3 linked regions of the Cricetulus griseus genome follow. The protein of the gene in region 2 interacts with the protein of the main gene of each other region in a pairwise test. Links are inferred from orthologs where the notes say so. Each region holds a gene or a part of one and is shown on either strand. Other genes may lie near its edges.

The links.
Region 1: the proteins of Ctnna3 (region 2) and Pkp3 interact in a two-hybrid assay, tested with the Homo sapiens proteins (2 studies listed by IntAct). The link is inferred for Cricetulus griseus from reciprocal best matches to the Homo sapiens genes CTNNA3 and PKP3.
Region 3: the proteins of Ctnna3 (region 2) and Jup interact in binary tests that used the Homo sapiens proteins (3 or more experiments, as listed by UniProt). The link is inferred for Cricetulus griseus from reciprocal best matches to the Homo sapiens genes CTNNA3 and JUP.

What each region holds. Positions count from the first base shown.
Region 1 is NC_048596.1:60,098,309-60,104,706, forward strand, and holds part of Pkp3 (plakophilin-3), read right to left. Parts: exon of another isoform or gene 6,313-6,398; intron 6,132-6,312; coding exon 5,936-6,131; intron 3,878-5,935; coding exon 3,798-3,877; intron 3,664-3,797; coding exon 3,032-3,663; intron 2,945-3,031; coding exon 2,821-2,944; intron 2,296-2,820; coding exon 2,091-2,295; intron 1-2,090. UniProt on the Homo sapiens protein: A component of desmosome cell-cell junctions which are required for positive regulation of cellular adhesion. Required for the localization of DSG2, DSP and PKP2 to mature desmosome junctions.
Region 2 is NW_023276806.1:272,080,102-272,085,740, forward strand, and holds the end of Ctnna3 (catenin alpha-3), read right to left. Parts: intron 3,562-5,639; coding exon 3,274-3,561; 3' UTR 2,216-3,273; downstream 1-2,215. UniProt on the Homo sapiens protein: May be involved in formation of stretch-resistant cell-cell adhesion complexes.
Region 3 is NC_048600.1:113,436,500-113,442,897, forward strand, and holds part of Jup (junction plakoglobin), read right to left. Parts: intron 5,190-6,398; coding exon 4,988-5,189; intron 4,159-4,987; coding exon 4,014-4,158; intron 3,624-4,013; coding exon 3,520-3,623; intron 2,413-3,519; coding exon 2,074-2,412; intron 1,050-2,073; coding exon 894-1,049; intron 677-893; coding exon 557-676; intron 1-556. UniProt on the Homo sapiens protein: Common junctional plaque protein. The membrane-associated plaques are architectural elements in an important strategic position to influence the arrangement and function of both the cytoskeleton and the cells within the tissue.

The DNA of each region.
Region 1 (6,398 bases), on a different chromosome or scaffold from region 2:
TCCCCCCTGAGATATGGTTTCTCTGTGTAGCTTTGGAGCCTATCCTGGCACTCACTCTGTAGACCAGGCTGGCCTCAAACTCATAGAGATTTGCTTGCCTCTGCCTCCCCAGTCCTGGGATTAAAGGCGTATGCCACCAAGACCCGGTTTAAAGATTTACTTATTTTGTAAAGTATGTGTGTGTCCATGCATGGGTATATTATAAGCAAATGAGTAAGGTACCCGTGGAGTCCAGAAGAGGGTGCCAGATCACCTGGAGCTGAAGTTACGTGCAGTTATGAGCTGCCTGTAGGTGTTGAGAACAGAAGATGGGTCCCTTTGAAGAGCAGCAAACATTCTTTATTTACTGAGCCATTTTTTCAGCTCTTGCCCTCACATTTTCTTGGCCTTACTCTAGAGCTGCCCTGGAGAGGTCCTCAGTATGACCTTTGGAAGCATGGACAGGAACAGAGCAAGAGGAACAAACAAAGTGTAGGGGGATTTGAAGGCCTGGGAGTGGAAATGACTGGGGAGAGAGAGCCTTGGCTAGAAGATAATGCTCTGTTGTAGAGCACTTGTAGGCCCTGCTTGTATGCATGAAGCCCTGAGTGCCACACACAGCACCACAGAAAATAAGGGTAAAAGCCAAAAAAAAAAAAAAAAAGTTTTGTATGTGTGATACTTGCAATCCCAGAACTTAGGAAGCTAAAATAGAAGAATGGCTGTGAGTTTGAGTCCATCCTGGGCTACATGGAGAGACCGTCTCTCATAAACAATAGCCAGGCATTGTGGTACATGCCTTTAATCCCAGCATTTGGGAAACACAGGCAAGCAGATTTCTGTGGATCTGAGGCAAACCTGATCTACATAATGAGTTCCAGGTCAGTCAGAACTACAAAGTGAGACCCTGTCTCATAAACAGACAATATACACAACAATAACGTCAAGCACCAACAACAACAAGTTTAGTTTATTGTGATGGCTCATGACAGGCATGAGCCTTCACAGTAAGGTGTTTGTAGGTAGAAGGCCTAGGTAGAAGGATTGCCATGAGCTTATGGCCAGCGTCTAATACATAGTGAGACAGAAGCCAGTTTGGTGTGCAGAGTGGAACAATACAAATGGGGTGGGGTGGGCTGGGGACATGGCTCAGTGGTTAAGAGCACAGGCTGATCTTCCAGAGGATCTGGATTCATCTCCCAGCAACTACATGGTGTCTCACAATCATCTGTAACTTTAGTTCCAGGAGAGCTGAAGCCCTCTTCTCACCTCCATGGGCACTGGGCATGCATGTGGTATACAGACATTCATGCAAGCAAAAGATTCATATACATAAAATGAAGTAAATAAATTGAATATATATACCAACACGCACACAATTCAGGGGCTGGAGAAATGGCTCAATGGATAAAAGTGTTTGCTGCTCTTGTTGAAGACACAGATTTGGTTCCAATTACCTATATGGTTTTTAATGACTGTGACTCTAGTTTCAGGGAATCCAATGCTCTCTCCTGACACGTGCGGGTACCAGGCATATATAGGGTAAACGAAGACACATGGAGGCAAAAACTTCATATACATAATAAAAATAAACAAATCATTAAAAAATAAGGAAATAGGCCAGGCATGATGATGTCACCTATCTTTAAACCTAGCACTCAGGAGGCAGGCAGATCTCTATGAATTTGGGACTAGCCTGGTCTACATAATGAGTTTCAAGACAGCCAAGGCTACATAGTGAGTTCCTGTCTCAGTAAAAATAAATTAAAAAATGGGCTGGCAAAAAGGCTCAGCAGGTAAAGGTGCTTTCTGCACAAGCCCAATTACTTGAGTTTGACTCCCCAGATCCCATGGTTGAAGGAGTTGTCCTCTGACCTTCACACGGATGCCTGGGGCATGCATGGGTGTACACAAAATAGTAATAAATAAGATAAACAACAAAAAAACCCAACCCCCCAAAAAATTCAATATGGGACAGGGAAGGCATAAGATGAAGACAGATTGTTGAGAACAAGGAAGGGAAAGAGGGGAGTAGAGGAAGAGAAGAGCAGGGACAAGACAGGAGAGCGCAGAGGAGGGGACTGATGATGAAGCTGGAGGGACAAGGGTACCTGTAACGTTTTTGCGTAGCTCATCATCCTGCTCTCGAAGTGTCCGCAACAGTTCGAAAATGCCATTCTCTTCTACCAGAGCCAGCTTGTTGTCTGCATTGTCGTAAATAAGGTTGCGCATGGCACCTGTGGCATGGCGCTGCACCTCTTGGTTGGCGTGGTTAAAGAGCTTCACCAGTCTAGGCACCGCCTGAAGGCTGCGAGCCTGTGGCACATATATACAGGTGTATGTGGACATATGCAGACTGAAAATGCAGGCAGAAATGTCCACATGCATGGAAATAAGTGCATATGTCCGTAGGTGACCCAGATGGTGCAGGTGATATGCAAGTCTGTACATAACGTATGCAAATGTATTGGGGGGGGTGCAGGTGCCTGGAAATGGTGACTCTGGATGCTACAGGTGTATGCAGGACTGCGCATGCATATTCGGGTATATGGAGGTAATCCAAGTATATGTCTCGGATGCATATATGTGCCACAGGCGCCATGTATATGTGTGTAGGTGTATATAGGTGATGCAGGTATGTACAAACAGGGCATCTCTGCCCGTTCTCCGTTGAGGATATGGAGTGGTGAGGTTTGCTCAGCCAGCCTAGTGATCAGCAGGGAGGGCCAAGGAGCAGAGGTCAGAAGGGGTGGGGGCTGGTGAAGACAGTCATTAAGGGCATCTGGGGACGGTGGGACAGTCACCGAGAGATAACAGGGGACAGTCAGTGGAATATGTCACCTGCTTCTTGGCTGCTGCATCACTGTAGCACCTGTGCTGGATATAAGCCGCTCCTAGCACCTGCAGGTTGGGGTCTGAGGCCATGAGGTACTTGACTGCTGAGGGCAGGTCAATGTCATCAAAGCTGCAGAACCAGGACTTAGTCAGTGTTCAGGTAGACCTTAGGATTGGGCCAGGCTGTCCCCTCCCTGCTTCAAGCCCAGCTCCTTACCCACTGCTGAGCCTCTGCAGGGTGCGATGGCCTGTGTAGCTGTCCAATCCACGTACATCTGGCAGGTGACCTGAGTCAGCCAGGCTGAGACTGAGACTGCGCACAGATGGGGCTCGGGCCACGGGTTCCAGGCCGGTACCTGACACTGACCCAGTGACTCCACGGCTTCGGTGGCTGCTCTGAAATCTCTGCAGGGTTCGCATGGCGGGTGCACGGATGGTCCGGCTGGGTTGGCCCTCGGTTGCCTCTGGCCAGTCCAGGCCTCCTGCCCTGCTAGAGCCAGAGCTGGCCTGGCGCTCATAAGCATAGGCCCTGTAGGTGGAGGCAGCTGCAGGCTCCAGTTGCTCAGATACCACACTGTAGCGATCGTCCAGGCCCCCAGGCCCCAGCCTCAGCGAGCGCAGGGACAACGTGTCATAATCGGCTCTGCTGGCTCCTCCACCTCGCTCGTGGAAGGACACTGGGCGGGTGGGCATGGGTGGAGTGGGCTGGGCACTCCCATATCCCACAGCCCCAAAGGCACTGCCCCCATTGTGGGCAGAGCTCAACCTCCGACTGCAGCTCAGGTCCACGGCTGAGCGGGAGGACCAGGAGGCTGGGCTGTAGGCCGGCTTGGCGATGGGCCGGATGGTCTATGGGAGGGGAGGGCACAGTGAAGGGGTATCTGGGGTTTACCCGGTGTCCTCCCCTTCTGATACAGAGCTCCCAGCTTCCCCTGTGGAGCCTCCCACTCAGTGTGGACTGCAGAGCTAAATCCCTGACTCACCGAGGTCTTGTCTCCACTCAGGCCCTGGGATCGGGAGCTGAAGCCAGCCTGCATAGTGTGGTATTGACCCCTCGGCATGCCTGTGGACAGGGATAGTGACAGCCTGACCATGACAAATAGCAAAGTGTTGGCTTTTCTTCTCCCTTCTGCCAGAGGTCTCTGATCGTAACCCTGAGAGTCACATCAGACCCAGAGCAGGGAGGCCAAGTGGGCTTTGGGGCTAATGCCTTGCCCATGGTTCTACTGTGGCTGCGGCTTGGTTTCATTCAATCTGTTCTGGTAGGCCCCCTTTCCCTAGAACTCCAAAGTTCCTTCTCTGCTCCAAGGAATCCAGACTACTCATCTTACTGACCTCTGGCCTGCCTGGAGAATTCGCCAAGGTTCTCCATAAGCTGTCCAGTCCCCGCCAGAGTACAGCATCTGGCTCCCCCCAGAAAGCCAGCCCAGCCTGCCCCAACCCACAATGACCTCCTTTGAAATCCTCTTGTGCCCAGACTCCATCTGTACTACAGTCACAGGGTAGTGACATTGTGTAGGCCAAGGATGTAGTCTCTCTGGATCCATCTGCTCTAATGGACAGTGGGAGAGCCACCTGGTAGAGCCTGAGGCAGGGACCACACCTACCCATCCAGCTGCATATTAGCTGCGGACAGGGAGTCAGCCCAGCTCCGTGGTCAGTGGACAGAAAGGTGGGTGAGTGGGTGGGGAGGACTGGTCAGAAGCTTGGAATGATATGTAGATGAAGGGATTGGTGGGAAAGAGGGAGGTGAGAGGGTCACATAGGTGTACAGAAAAACTCGCAGCCAGATGAACAGAGAGATAGTGGGTGCAGAGGTGAGACCACCCAGGAAACATCATCCCAAGAGTGGATGGTAATATAGTGGGCAGGGCTCGGGTGGACTCAGCCTCTGCCAAGGGTTTTAGGAAGGGCTCCCTGAGCAAGGGCTACTACTACTACAGAGGTCAGTATGGGTATGGGGAAGGGGCCTTCACTCCTCCCAACCCTGCCCAGGGGGTGGACAGTCTGGTGTTCCCCAGATCCACCCAGGTTAATGAGGCTTCTGGGCAGGGGCTGTTAACCCTTTGACGCTAGTGAGGGCCAGCCTAGGGGGCACACCCCAGCCTGGGGACCTTACGCCCACCCCCAAATTACTATCCTCCTCCCCCTAATTGGCAGGGTATCCAGGTGGTAATTAACCCCTCCCTCTGTCCTCCCCCACCCCATGACCCCTGGGCATCAACTTGGCTCCAGTAAGGCTTATGCTCAGGAAGATTTCAGGCAGCAATCCAATTCCTGACCAGCCCTTCTGCCAGACAGCCCTCTCCCTCTGGCTAGTAGCTAGAGGCCAGAGGTGGACCACTGTGAACTGGGGTCTAGACCTCTGAACAGAGGTCTATTGTACTGTCTGAATTTAATGCCTGTTGTTGTAGCCTGGCAGGTAGGGAAATGATGTTTATGGAATGACTACCTTGAACCCAGCACATCTGAGTGACCCCTCTAACACACACACACACACACACACACACACACACACACAGAGAGAGAGAGAGAGAGAGAGAGAGAGAGAGAGAGAGAGAGAGAGAGAGAGACGCCCCTGAAGAGTACCCTGCAGGCTATTCTCATGAAGAGTATCTGGGTCACTCCTGGTAGGCCCAGTTCTGTAATTCCTCAGGGAGCCCCTGCTCCAGACAGACCTGGGCTCTATCTAGGATCATCGCTCTCTCATACAACTGTTAAACTCACTCCCATCTGGTTAGAAGGCACTCTGGCCTCTCTGTCTGGGACCTCAAGCGAGCCTGTGGTGATGAGGGAATGTATTGGGGGTTGCCAATAGGTGGGCCTGGTTGTTCTCCTTGAGCCTCCCGGGTTTTCCCAACTTAGAGAGTGGGGCACCCAGCCTTAGACCCCTGTCTTGGCTGGGGAGGAGGTATGCCCCACCCAGGCTGTTCCCCATGCCTACTGGGGCGGGGCGGTGACTCAGAGCAGGCCTCAGTGAGGTGAGTCAAGGCCTGAACCCCGAGCTCGTACGGCCTCTGCCCCTGACACCAACACTACTGCCCTAGCCACCTCTACCTGCCACTGTCACCACTACCACCTACATTACCCTTTGTTGCCCACCATGCCCAAGCTGGCGTACCTCTGGTGATCTCGGTGGCGCCATCAAGCTCGGTAGACCCATTGTGCCGCGACTGCTGGCCTAACTGCAGGAGGCGGGCTCGGACTTGCTCCTGGACTCTGGCAGCTCGAAGCCTATCAGCCTCCGGCCCCTCAGCACCCCGGCGATCCAGCTGCAGGTCCGAGGGCAGTGCCAGGGAGCAAACACCAGTCTCAGGCTGCAGGGCAGACAGCAGGAAGTTACCCTCCTGCATAGTGACAGGGGCGACTATCCACCCCACCTGTCCTGGGCCTCTTCCCAGTCTTGTCCCTCAAGGCTCAGTTCCAGAAGTCTCTTCCTGGCTGGCCTTCTTAGACAGACGCCCGCCCAGCCCAGAGCTTGGCTGGGGGCGGGGATACCTGGGCCAGGTGGGAGGGAGGGGCCTCTGCCTGCTTAAGGTGGAATTTGGGCGGAAGAACAGGCCCAGCGCGTCCTCAAGTCATGG
Region 2 (5,639 bases):
TGAAGACTGAAGAACCCAGTATCATTGTCAAACTTAGTCTTTTCAACAACTTGCTATAGAATCTGGGAAGCATTATTGTTAAGAGACATGAATGCCCTAATGGGAACTTAATTACATATTCACACTTTTAGTTTTTTCACTTATAATGAATTGAAAAGAGATTAGTCTGCAGTGGAAGGTTACAAGAATAGGCCTCTGTGTTCAGTTGCAGGTTCCTTATACTGTGGGAGGAAGAGACTTCATGAGAAGCAAATGTGTTATACTGATGCTAAAAGACTTCACAATCTCAGATGGCACATGAGAATATAAGACTATAATGTATCTTCTAGCATATTCAGAGGTCAGACTCAAATCATAAGAGAAACAGAAAAGCATGATTGACATCAGCTTGAAATATATTTTCCTGATTTACTCAAAAATTTCTAGAAACTTTAAAAGAAAGAACTATAACTTAACAATTTTATTTAGTAAAGATGGAATGTATATTTATCAACTTTTATATTTGATATCATCATGAGTATTTTCTGAGTTATCCTGAATCTAGACTACTTTGAATTTAACATCACACTTGGTGGCAATATAGGTGGCGAGGAAGAGATGGAGATGTCCTTGGGGATAGTATAAAACTTCTTTTCAAGTACATTTTTCTAAAAAAGTAAGTAAGTGAACTGAAATTAATTTGGTAGAAAGGACAAGTGAGTATTGACTAGCAAAATCAAACAAATGTGATGCTATTTGAAAATGTGTATACTGCGTTATCAAGTTATTACTTCCATTAAAATTTCCCAGCATTCCACTGCAGAAAAAATGTTGCCATATAAATATGTATATAGAATATTTATTGTCCAGACTTATCTAATTGTACTCTATAGTGTAAAATTTGCAAGTACCCCTCTTCCTGTTTTTTCTGTAGATGTTTGCATCACCCATTGCTTGAATCCAACTAATATACTGTCACTGCAGGTGTTTCTCAGGTAGACAGATGTCCTTCTCAGCTTTATCCCTTTGGTTTTTATTACACCTTTAATTGCTAGAGAAAATGTACTCCCTGGGCACTCACCAAGTTAAAAATTTTATTGTTTTGTTTAATTATAGCTGTTTATTTTGAGCTGAGCTGGAACACTGTACCAAAGTGAAGGCCTCGACTGTTTCTCATTTCGAGTAAAATTATCTGGAATTTGCATCATTTAAAATTATTTCTTTTATTATTGCTTTCCTCTAATAGATCATGCTAAATTCCAATATGTAGAAGGATGACATGGGGCCAAAGGAACAGTGGGTTTTGCAAAGAAGGTGTATGAGTCTGGCCTATGTAAGGTCAAGACCTAGTATATAAAGTTAGTATGTGGTATTTTTTGTTTGTGTATTTTTAAGAAATTGGTTGTTCCCAAAATTAAAAATCTGCATGGTACCGAAGAGGAGTCTATTCTAAAATTGCTCTCCACTGAGTACAGAACACTATGGCTGCATTTCAGTAACAGAGGGTATTTGTCCCAATTGTGCCAATATTGTCAAGAAGACCAAATTCCCTTCTCTGCTTCTCATCATGAGAGTAGATTTTGTCCAGAATAATTACTATGCACAAGCCCTTAGGGCAAGATGAGGGAAGAAATGAATGGACTTCACCTAGTTCATACTAAATTTTGTAGAGTTCTCAGGCAACCAAGCCAACACTTTGGTATAATGAAATAATTCAATTACTAAAAGAGTTAATATTCGCCTCAATAACACAATCATCTGCCAGACCTTTCTTTTCTTTTTTGTTCAAGAGAATACACAATGAATTCCCAGTACGTTCAATCCCTTTTGCTTCCTGTACAAGTGGCCCCCCTAACACCAACTTCTGTTACATATAGAAATACTAACTGATGAATTGAAAGTGTCCAAATGCCTCTTCAAGGGCAGTGTTGCAAAAGGGAAGAGCTTCAGTTATGGAAGGGTTCTGACACAGAAAAGGGGAATAAGTGGAGAAAAAGCCCTTTGAGTGTGGCATGGTAAAATTGAAGCCTCACTCCTCCAACACCGTAAATATAAAGCTCAGTGTGAAGAAAGAGAGGAGGAAATGATGGAAAAACAAAGGGCTATCATTGCCATAGAGCATACTCTCAGACTACTACAGAGTCCATCATAAACTCAGCTGTAGATAACCACAGTCATTGGACATAGAAAACAACCCCAGTGACATTCGTTTAGAGGTGGTTATTAAAAATCACTCCAAACTCATTGTCATTAATTCAGCTTCATTGTTGGGTGGTAGATTTCACTCCGTGCCAAAGGCTTTGCAAATCAGTCTTTCATTTTAGTTACCATTGCAATGGATACAAAGAGATTTTTATAATCACGCAAAATTCCTTTTGTTTCCTCTATCTCAGACTTGCTCTGAACTATAAGTCAGTGTGTCTCATTTCTCTGAAGGGCTGGATGTGGAACTCAGGAGTAGACCACATTCCTAGCGTATGTAATGTTGTTTGAATCACAGTACCACACAAACCAATCAAGAAACAAAAATTCATTTCTCCAATGGGTGATGACTCTAGACATGTGTGTTCTGACAGGCCCAATGCTAAGAGTACAGAACTTCTAAATAGTAGGAAAAAAAAAGGTGCAAACAGCATCCACAGTCTCTGCAGCCTCAGAGTGTCATCAAAGCACTTCTTTAATAACATGACTGACTTTCAAATTCTGGTAAGAAGTTTGACTCCCCACATTTGGTTATAGTCAACTCACCAACTAATAGTAGGTAGCAATATCTAGAAATTGAACATTCTTTCCTATGGCAAGAAGGACACATGTCTGGCAGATTAGATGCCAGGTTAGGTCTGCTAAGGAAGGTACAGACACTGGGAAAATAGTTGCTAAACCCTCTTGTGTCCACTGAAAAGCAAGTGAAAAGCTTCTGAGTGTGTCATCCTTCACAAGGATACATAGTGCATAGGCTTAAACATTTCCAAGGAAGCAGAACTCACTTTGTCTTTTGCATTCATTTTGTAATGGACATAAGCTATTCCCTGTGAAGGGCCAGGCCAAAATGACACCTGTGAAGTTTATTCCCTAGGTACTACCTGCAAGTTAACTGGGTTGTGCTGGCGATAGAGAGATGACAATGACAGGACCCCAAATACACATTGTGCACAGTGGTTTAACCCCAACGTTTTATGTTATTTGAGAACTTAACTCCGAAACTTAGCGAAATTAAAGAGCCAGTGAGCTGTGAAATAAATGCAATGTGCTTGGCCCGAGGTATGTCAATGGGCACTGGAGTGGACTAGGGCCTCAGTAGACTTGTCTCCCTCTAAATTCACTCATGACTTGGACAGGGTGGATCTTTTTCTTTGCTGAGCCTCTTCTGACAGCCGCATATGTTTCTTCTGGCTTCTCTCTCTTAATCAAGGGCTTTTTTGCAGGAGCCTTCATCCTCCACATGACAACAGGGTGCCGGGGGCCGGCAGAACTCTGGATGCGGATGATCTTGGTGGAAGCAATGTACGACATTTTCACTGTTTGCACTACAGCATTCATTAAATTTTTGGCTGCTTGGATCAGGGAGGTGACACTGTCCAACTGTAGGAAAGAATGAAGAGAAAAGCTACTATTTAAAATGCAGTCAGGAATGTGCTGAGGATGTAGAAGATGACAGTGACACTGTACTTTGACCAAGAAATGAACGAGCTAATTCTTATTTTACATATCAATACATAATCATCTACATCATTCCATCGTATTCTTTTTAAAGGTTGATCTGATGCATAAATACATCCATGTTTTGTTTTTAATTTGGTATTGTAGAAGGATAAGTTTCTTTCTCATTGTTTGCAAGAAAGCTACATATACACACACATACACATACACATACACACAATGCAGATATACATATACATCATCTTTTTCTTGAGAATTTCTTAAATAATCACACTTAAATGGGTCTCTGTTTTAAGAAGTAAATGTTAATGCATCATAGAGACTGCTAATATAGAAAGAATGGAGAGTTCAAATAAAATTGAATTGGAGGTTCAGATTCCCCTTTGACAACCTTGAGAAGGTTTAATTATTTCCATCAAATCATTTAATGCAGAAAAATATTTATTAAAGAAAAAGTAATACATATAAGAAACCAGTACATTAGCTGCCAAAAAATTGTTGTAATTAAGTACCATTACCTTTGCAACCTATAAAGACTGCTAAATTGCTAAATGACACAGATGTGCTCATAAAATGGCTAAAAATACCTTTTCCACAGATGAATCTGTTTGTTAAATGTCCAGGATGCTATTCATGTAAACAATCTCAAGGAAAAAAAAAATAGAGTGGCATTCCTAGAGTTTTTCAAAATACCTTAGAGCTAAGCCAAGTCGATTCATTTTTATACAACCGATGCTTTTTCAATTATTTTAGCTTGGCAGATTGTCATCTGCAGCCAACTCACATGGGGAGATGAGCCTCCACTGTCACCCCTCTGTGATAGGAGCTGTCAGGGCTGGGGCTCAAACGCTGACTCTGTGTAGTTCCTGAAATCTGTCAGCAGCTGCTGGCCTGCGTGTTCTACCTCCTCTGCTCTACCAGCTTCAGCTCTCATACAGAATAAGTGAGGCAGAGTGGGGAGCTCGGGTTATGTGCCCGGGGCTGTGGTCTAGCTGGCTGCTTTCCTCACAAGAAAATTTAATTAGTTCCATAATTGCCAAGCCCAAGATCCTTGGAATGGTAACACCAAAAATACATGATTTTTTAAGGACAGCAAGATTTGGCAGCTACACATACACACACACATATATTTTGCACGTATATATTTTTACATATATATTTTACTTATTAAAGCCAGGACAGTGAAACCTGTGTACTGGGCAAAAATGACAAACACTAAACAGTATTTTTAAGTACTCAAAAGGTTTTTAGGGGAGGACTGTGTGTGTGTGTGTGTGTGTGTGTGTGTGTGTGTGTGTGTGTGTGTGTGTGTGAAGTTTGTGTGCGTGTGTGCCCATGCATGCATGTGTAGACACTGGTTGCCATCATCTTCCTCTATCATTCCCTACCTTATGCTCTGAGGCAGGGTTTCTCATTGAACCTGAAACTAACTGCTTGGCTAATGTGACTGGCCCATGAGCACCTCTGATCTTGGAGGACATTAGGCAGCTTCTGCATCTGCACAAAGCCTTGCAAAACTATTAATTTTTAAATAGAATGGCAGTAGTCATTTTAAAACTACCAATAGATTACAAAATCAAATCCTCTATTTTATAATTGTTTTCATTAAAAGCCTAGTGGCAGGGTTACTTTAAAAAAAATGTTGGACAGTGAGATACTTATCCACCTCCCAAACATCACAAGCTTTTACCAATGCATTTGGTTACCTTCCAGAACTTGGTGATAAGACTCATTTGCTGAAGGCATGATATACTGGGTCAAAGACCAGGAAACATCAAGCTGGTACTAACCTGGAAGCTTCATCCCACATGGTTAGCTTTCACAATGCTAGGAAGTGCAATGAACAGTACCAGAGGTTAAAAAAGTGTAATCAGTAATCTCACCTAGCCATGAACCTAGTGAGCAATGAGAATGACTGCCTGGGAAGATGTGCCCACTGGTGCAACAGTGGCACAAATTTTGTGAAATCCAATCAGAAAGACTTAAGGTTCACTCCATAT
Region 3 (6,398 bases), on a different chromosome or scaffold from region 2:
AAACCTCTGCCATTTAAGTTATGTTCAATGATTTCCTCAAGAGGGAGTCAGATTTGAATTCCAGGTCAAAGGACAGGAATCTTTCCAAGACTCCCTTCACACTGCAACAGCAGTTCCCAGGCTGCCCATCCCCCCAAGCAGGGCACAAGATGCTCAGTTCACCCGACCCTCAAGTATCTTCTTTGCTGGCCAATCTGACAGTGGAAAATGGACTCTCACTGGGGGCTAAATTTCATTTCTGTAAACTCCTGGGCTGAACCCTGTTTGCTTATGAGCCACCTGGGAGCCACTTGTTGACTCTGCCCACACAGCACTGCTGGGACCCGGCGTTAATGAGCTGCTGTCTGCTGAGACAATGGCTCCCACAGTCCAGGTTTGTGCTTTTCGGGTTGTTTTGAACACACGGATGCTCTTAATGCTCGAGTGACTGCATCTCACCTCCCCTGCTTCTGAGCTTCATCCGCTCTTAAACAGTCCTAGACAAGCCCGGTCCACACATCCCCAAACCCCCAGCAGCTTCTGGGGACGTATCTTTGTCCATCTGTACCAGACTCACCTGGACAAACAGGGGAATGGTGTTGAGCCGGAAGATCTCCATACGGTTCATGGGATCCCGGGCGAGGATGTGGAGGGCTCCAGTGCAGCCCTCTACGATCTCTTCCATCCTCACGCCATCCTGCATGAAAAGGGCCGTGAAACACGAGGATGGGGACAAGGGGGCCCTGGACAAAGCCGCAACCTCCCCGACCAGGACCCTAACACTGCTCACTAGTCCCTGGAGTTGGCGTTGATGTCAACACACACACTTCTTCTTATATACACACAAACTCTGAGGACACCCCCGCCCCAGCCCCTCCAAGAAGGCTATCTCAGTCGCCACTAGGCTCATCTACCGTGTAGGGCTGCTGGGTGCCTGCGGCCACATGTCGCTGGGCATCCTGGTGGGCCTTGACCAACAGCTGAACGAGGCGGGGAATGACTGCGGCCTCCTGCAGCGGGGCATGGTTGGCTGGGCACAGGGCCAGATTCCGGATCAGACCGATGGTTGCCTGGCAGGGAAGGAGGCAGTGAGCAAAGGTATTCCAACTCCTCAGCTTCAGGTATTTTGTCAATACTATCTCTTCTGAAAACCCAGTCCCAGCGCAGTGACAACAGGATAAGGAGAGTCCTAGCTACTCATGTAGCTGGAACTTTGAGAAGCTCTGCTTGGGGGAGGGAGCTGGGGCGGCTGTAGGCAGAGGACAGAAAGAACCTAGACCTAAGGTCGGGGCTTTCGCTCAGGACGCACGAGCCCTGGGTTTGAGTCCCAGGACTACACAGACCAGATGTGGTGGCACATGGCTCTCATTCCAGCACTTGAGTGAGGCTGAGGCAGGAGGACCAAGGCGACCCTCAGCTACAATTTAAGGCCAGCCTGGGATACTTGAGACTCTAATCTTTAAACTAATTGCATCTAGCTCACTGAAGGGAAGTGGGGCATGCCTATGGTATTCTCAGCAGTCAGGAGCCTGAGCAGGAGAATCGCAAGTCTAAGGCCAGCCTAGGCTACATCCCACAGACCTTGTCTCAAAAACCAGCCAGAGCCAAGCCTGATGGATGGCCTTTAACCCCAGCACTTGGGAGGCAGAGGCAGGAGAATTGAGTTTGAGGCCAGCCTGGCCTACAGAGTGAGTTCCAGGACAGCCAGGGCTACATAGAGAGATGGTGTCTCAAAATAAATAAAATTAGTAACTCTAATAAATATTTTTACTTTAAAAAATGTGTTAATACATGTGTGTGACCTACAGGGTGTTGTTCCCTTGTTTTTTACAGATGGTTGTGAATCACCCTGTGGCTGCTGGGAATTGAACTCAGGACCTCTGGAAGAGTAACCACTGAGCCATCTCTCCAGTCTTCTAATACAAAATTTTAAAAATTAAGAATAAAACAAATAGAGCAACAACCAGGTAAGCAAAAGAACTCTAGGTCTCTGGAGCAGACATTGTGAAAGTAGAAAGTGCTGGGAGTGGTATTTCCTTCCTGTTCTCTGAGCCAGTGCGCTAGGTCTCCTGTGTCCTGGCCCTTAGTGGGTACCTTGACCAGTGGCCACTGGTTGGGCTGGTTGAGCAGCTTCACAATGGCCGGGATGCCATAGTTGAGGCGCACAGAGTTCTGGGCCATCTCAGCCTCCGGGTGGCGGCTGGTAAGGTGACGCAGGGCACAGACAGCAGGCTCTGTGATGTCATCCTTGTCACCGGCTCTCAGGATGGCGTGGATGAGTGCCTCGACGCCACTGTTCTGTGTCACCAGCGTCTTGTTTTTGCTGTTGTTGCAGGTCAGGTTGGAGAGGGTGCCTGTGGCACAGGTGAGGACGTTGACATCGTCCACACTCAGCTGGTTGACCAGGATCTTCAGCACGCTCTCCAGGCCCTCCTGAGACAGGAAGAGCATGAAGCGTAAGGAACACGTCATCTCTACACAGCCTCCCCAGTAGGTCTGAGGGCAGCGGATAGGCTGAAGGGCTTGGTCTTGCTTTTATGTGGCCAGGAACCTTCACCCCATGGCCTTCCACGCCCTGGGGAAAGCTGTTAGCCTCTCCTGGAGATCTTCCCACAGACCCACAGCTGCAGGCCTGCCTCCAAGCCCATGGTCCTTCCTCTATCCCATGTGCTCCATCCCTGCTGGCCATAGGAGGCCTCTGGTCAAGAGGAAGCTAGCAAGGAGGTCATAGGCTTCAGTGGTCAGCTGGTCCCCTGTCGCATACTTCTCACCTGGCTGGGTCTTCTCTGTCACACCAGGGATCCCTAAGCTAAATCTGCTTCTGAGAAAAATCCCCAACTCAGAAACCTCTCTTCTCCCAGGGAGGGCTGTGTGGGTCTAGTGGTGGATCCAAAAGACTATCGGTCTCAGAGATACACACAGTCATGGGTCAGGACGCAAGCTCTGCCATCTAATAGCTCTCAACATGGGCTTTCTCTTAACTCCCTGAGCCTTAGTTTCTCCCACAACCAATGGGGTTGCAGGATCCCCTTCTAGGGAGCTAAGAGGGTTAAAGTCAGTTCAGCTCCTGCCTACAGAAGCCATGCAGAATGAAGGGTGCTTGCTAGGTGGTGGTGATGGGTAAACACATGGATACAGTCTGCTTGGAAGGTGGTGCCAGCAACTTGCCCTGAATCAGCAGTGCTCTGAGGTTAGTGTTTTGTGTGTGTTAGTATTTTGTGAGGTTAGTGTTTTGACTGCCTGTATATCTGTGCACCATGTGTGTATGCCTAGCGCTCTCAAAAGCTATAAGAGGACATCAGATGCCCTGGAACTAGAGATACAGACAAATGCTCTTAACCACTGAGCCCCTGTACTTGAGTTTTATGGAACAGTACTGCTCCTGTCCCAGGGTCAAGGCTCAAATTGTCCCATCACCATCACCTGAACCCCAACTTAAAGATGTCAGCCTCCTTCCTCTTCTCATAGGTCCCCGAGGTCATATGCCCAGGTGGTAGGCTGACAATATGGTTTCAGAGAATGGCCCGGGCCCAGACTTACCTGCTTGGTAGCCACATCTGAGAGGTTGCGTAGAGTCCACAGGCAGTTCTGCACCAGGCGCGGGCTGTTGCTTGTGAGATGCTTGCCCAGAGCCTGCATCCCACCTGGGGATGGGACAGAGGTCCTGTCAGCCTTAGGGGGGCCAGATTGCTGCCAGGGCAGGGGCCCTACCCCAATCCTCCTGACCCCACAGGTCACTCCTCTATAATTTTACTTTTAAAGGGTTATTATTATTATTATTATTATTATTATTATTATTATTCGTGTGTGTGTCTGTGTGTCTGTGTGTCTGTGTGTCTGTGTAATGTGATGTGCAATGCCCATGGAGGCCAGAAGAGGGCATCAGATCCCTTGAATTTGAGCTACAGGTAGTTGTGAGTCACCGAATGTGGTTACTGGGAACCAAACTGAGGTCCTCTGGAAAAGTAGCAAGAGCTCTTAAGCTATGGTCACCTCTCTAGTCCCCAACAGGCCACCTTGAGGTTCTCACTCACCAGCCTCCACAATGGCGGGCTTATTGCTGGGACACACAGAGAGCACCTTGAGCACACGGCTGGTGGTCCAGAGCAGTTTCTCATAGCTGTAGTTCCTCATGATCTGCACAAGCCCCTGAGGTCCCCCATTGGCCAGGATGATCAGCTGTGGGGAGGGAAAGGCAGAGTGTAGGATAACAGGCTCACACACCTATGTGTTCACGTGTGTGAGGGGGTGATGGAGCTCTCATTATTAACCTTTTAAGACTTTGGTGACTATCAAATAAGCCAATATCTTGGGGAAAAAAACTATTAATACCAAATGCTGGCAAGGATCTAGCAAAGGGAGTCTAGCACAGCATTGTCACTAAAGGCAGTGTAATGGGTAACACGATGTAACCCTTTTGGAAAGAGAACAAACACACTGAGTAAAAGTCTAGAAGTGTTTAGAAACAAATAAATAAAAAGAAAAAGGCCTTTAGCCCTGCTGGCTCTGGTGTTCCACACCTCTAATCCAGCAGTTAGAAGACTACAAGGAGAGTTAGGGTTCCAGGTCACCCTGGGATAGATAGTGAGACCCTGTGTAAAACACACAGAGAGGGCTGGAGAGATGGCTCAGCTGTTAGCAGCACTCGCTGCTTTTCCAGAGAGTCTAGGTTTGATTCCCAGCATTCGCATGGCGACTTAAAACGATCTGTAATGCCAGCTCTAGGAATGCAGCACCCTCTTCTGGCCGCCATGGGTACTGCAAGCCATCTCTCCACCCCAATCCCCCAGCCTTTTTCAATTCTAGGGATTGAATCATTCAGCATGCTAGGCAGTATTCTATCACTGAGTTATATCCCTAGCCCTAATTTTTTCTCAAACCTTAAAATATTAGTTCTGAGGAATTCAGAAACAGGATATGAGACACATTCATCTATATACACATTAGTATGCCTTCCGGGAAGTGGCCTGAAGCCACTGGATACTGTAGCCATGGTGAAGGGACCCACCTTGCTCTCCTGGTTGCCATAGGCCAGGAGCTGCAGGCAGTCAGTGGTGATGGCCAGGAATTTAGGGTTGTTCTTGTTGAGTAGGGGTACCATCTTCTGCAGCCCATCTGCCAGGCGCACCGCCATCTTGGCGCCCTCCTGGTACAGCAGCAGGTTGTGCAGCGTGGTAATGGCATAGAACAGGACAGACTCTACAGGAGAACTGAGGAGTAGGCAGAATCCATGTTGAGTCAGCTCCCCAGACCCCAGTCAGAAAGCTCACCCCCAATCATCACCCCTATGCAAATATCCCTTTACTAAAGTGTCATTCTTTTTTTTTTTTTGTTCTTTGTACATATATTTAGTACAGATTATTAGGGATTTAAGGAATATGTACAATTTTACACCATGGACTGCATTTTCTTAATGCATTACAGAAACAAAAATAAAATGTCACCAATGACACAGAATACTATACTGTAGATACACCACAACAGTCCAGATTTAAGAAGAAACATCAATATAATTATGAAAAGGCTAGCTTACTTAAACTAGTCAAACTTGACTTTGTTAAATTTATGTTATATAGACAGGTAAATTTTGATGACATATTTTAAACAAAGAATCTTGGAAAACATCTTCACACCAATGAGTGAAATGGTATATTTTGCCCTCCCCAAGAAAACAAAGTCTTGTGCAAGCTAATGAAGATACACATACACCTACACACACACACACACCCCAACACACCACACACACACAGACACAGACACACACACAGACACACAGTATGAACAGTATGTTTTCAACAGTATAATAAACAGTTAAAATTTTTATGGGAGTTAAAACAATGCCCCGTTATTTAAAAACTGGCTCATTTAGTCTAAATTCAAGATGCAGCTTTGTCAGGTTTCTCTGAACCAGATGATCGAAAAGCAGGGAAGACAGAGGCAGGATTTTGACTAGCAGATACAACAACTTGAGGAAGAGATGGAGACAATGAGGATACCTTAGATGCTGGAGTATTTATGGTATTTAAAATGGCTCCTTCTGGGATAACCAGTAACTTTTTTGACAGAGGTATCTAAATGAAATACCCTAAAGTGTCATTCTTTCTTGAGCACAGCCCCTCTTTTTAATTTGTGTGTGTGTGTGTGTGTGTGTGTGTGTGTGTGTGTGTGTGTGTGTGTGTAGGTCAGAAGACAACCTCAGGTGTCATCCTCAGGAACACAATCCCCCTCCTCAGATACAGGGTCTCTAACTGGCCCAAGCTCCTTAGGCTAAACTGGCTGGCCAGCAAGCTCCAGGGCTTCCTCCAGTCTCTGCTTCCCCAGGGCAGGGGCTGCAAATGCCCTCTACTGCATCCAGCATTTTTACATGGGTGCTGGAGATTGAACCTGGGTCCTCATGCTTGAGAGGTAAACTCCTCATT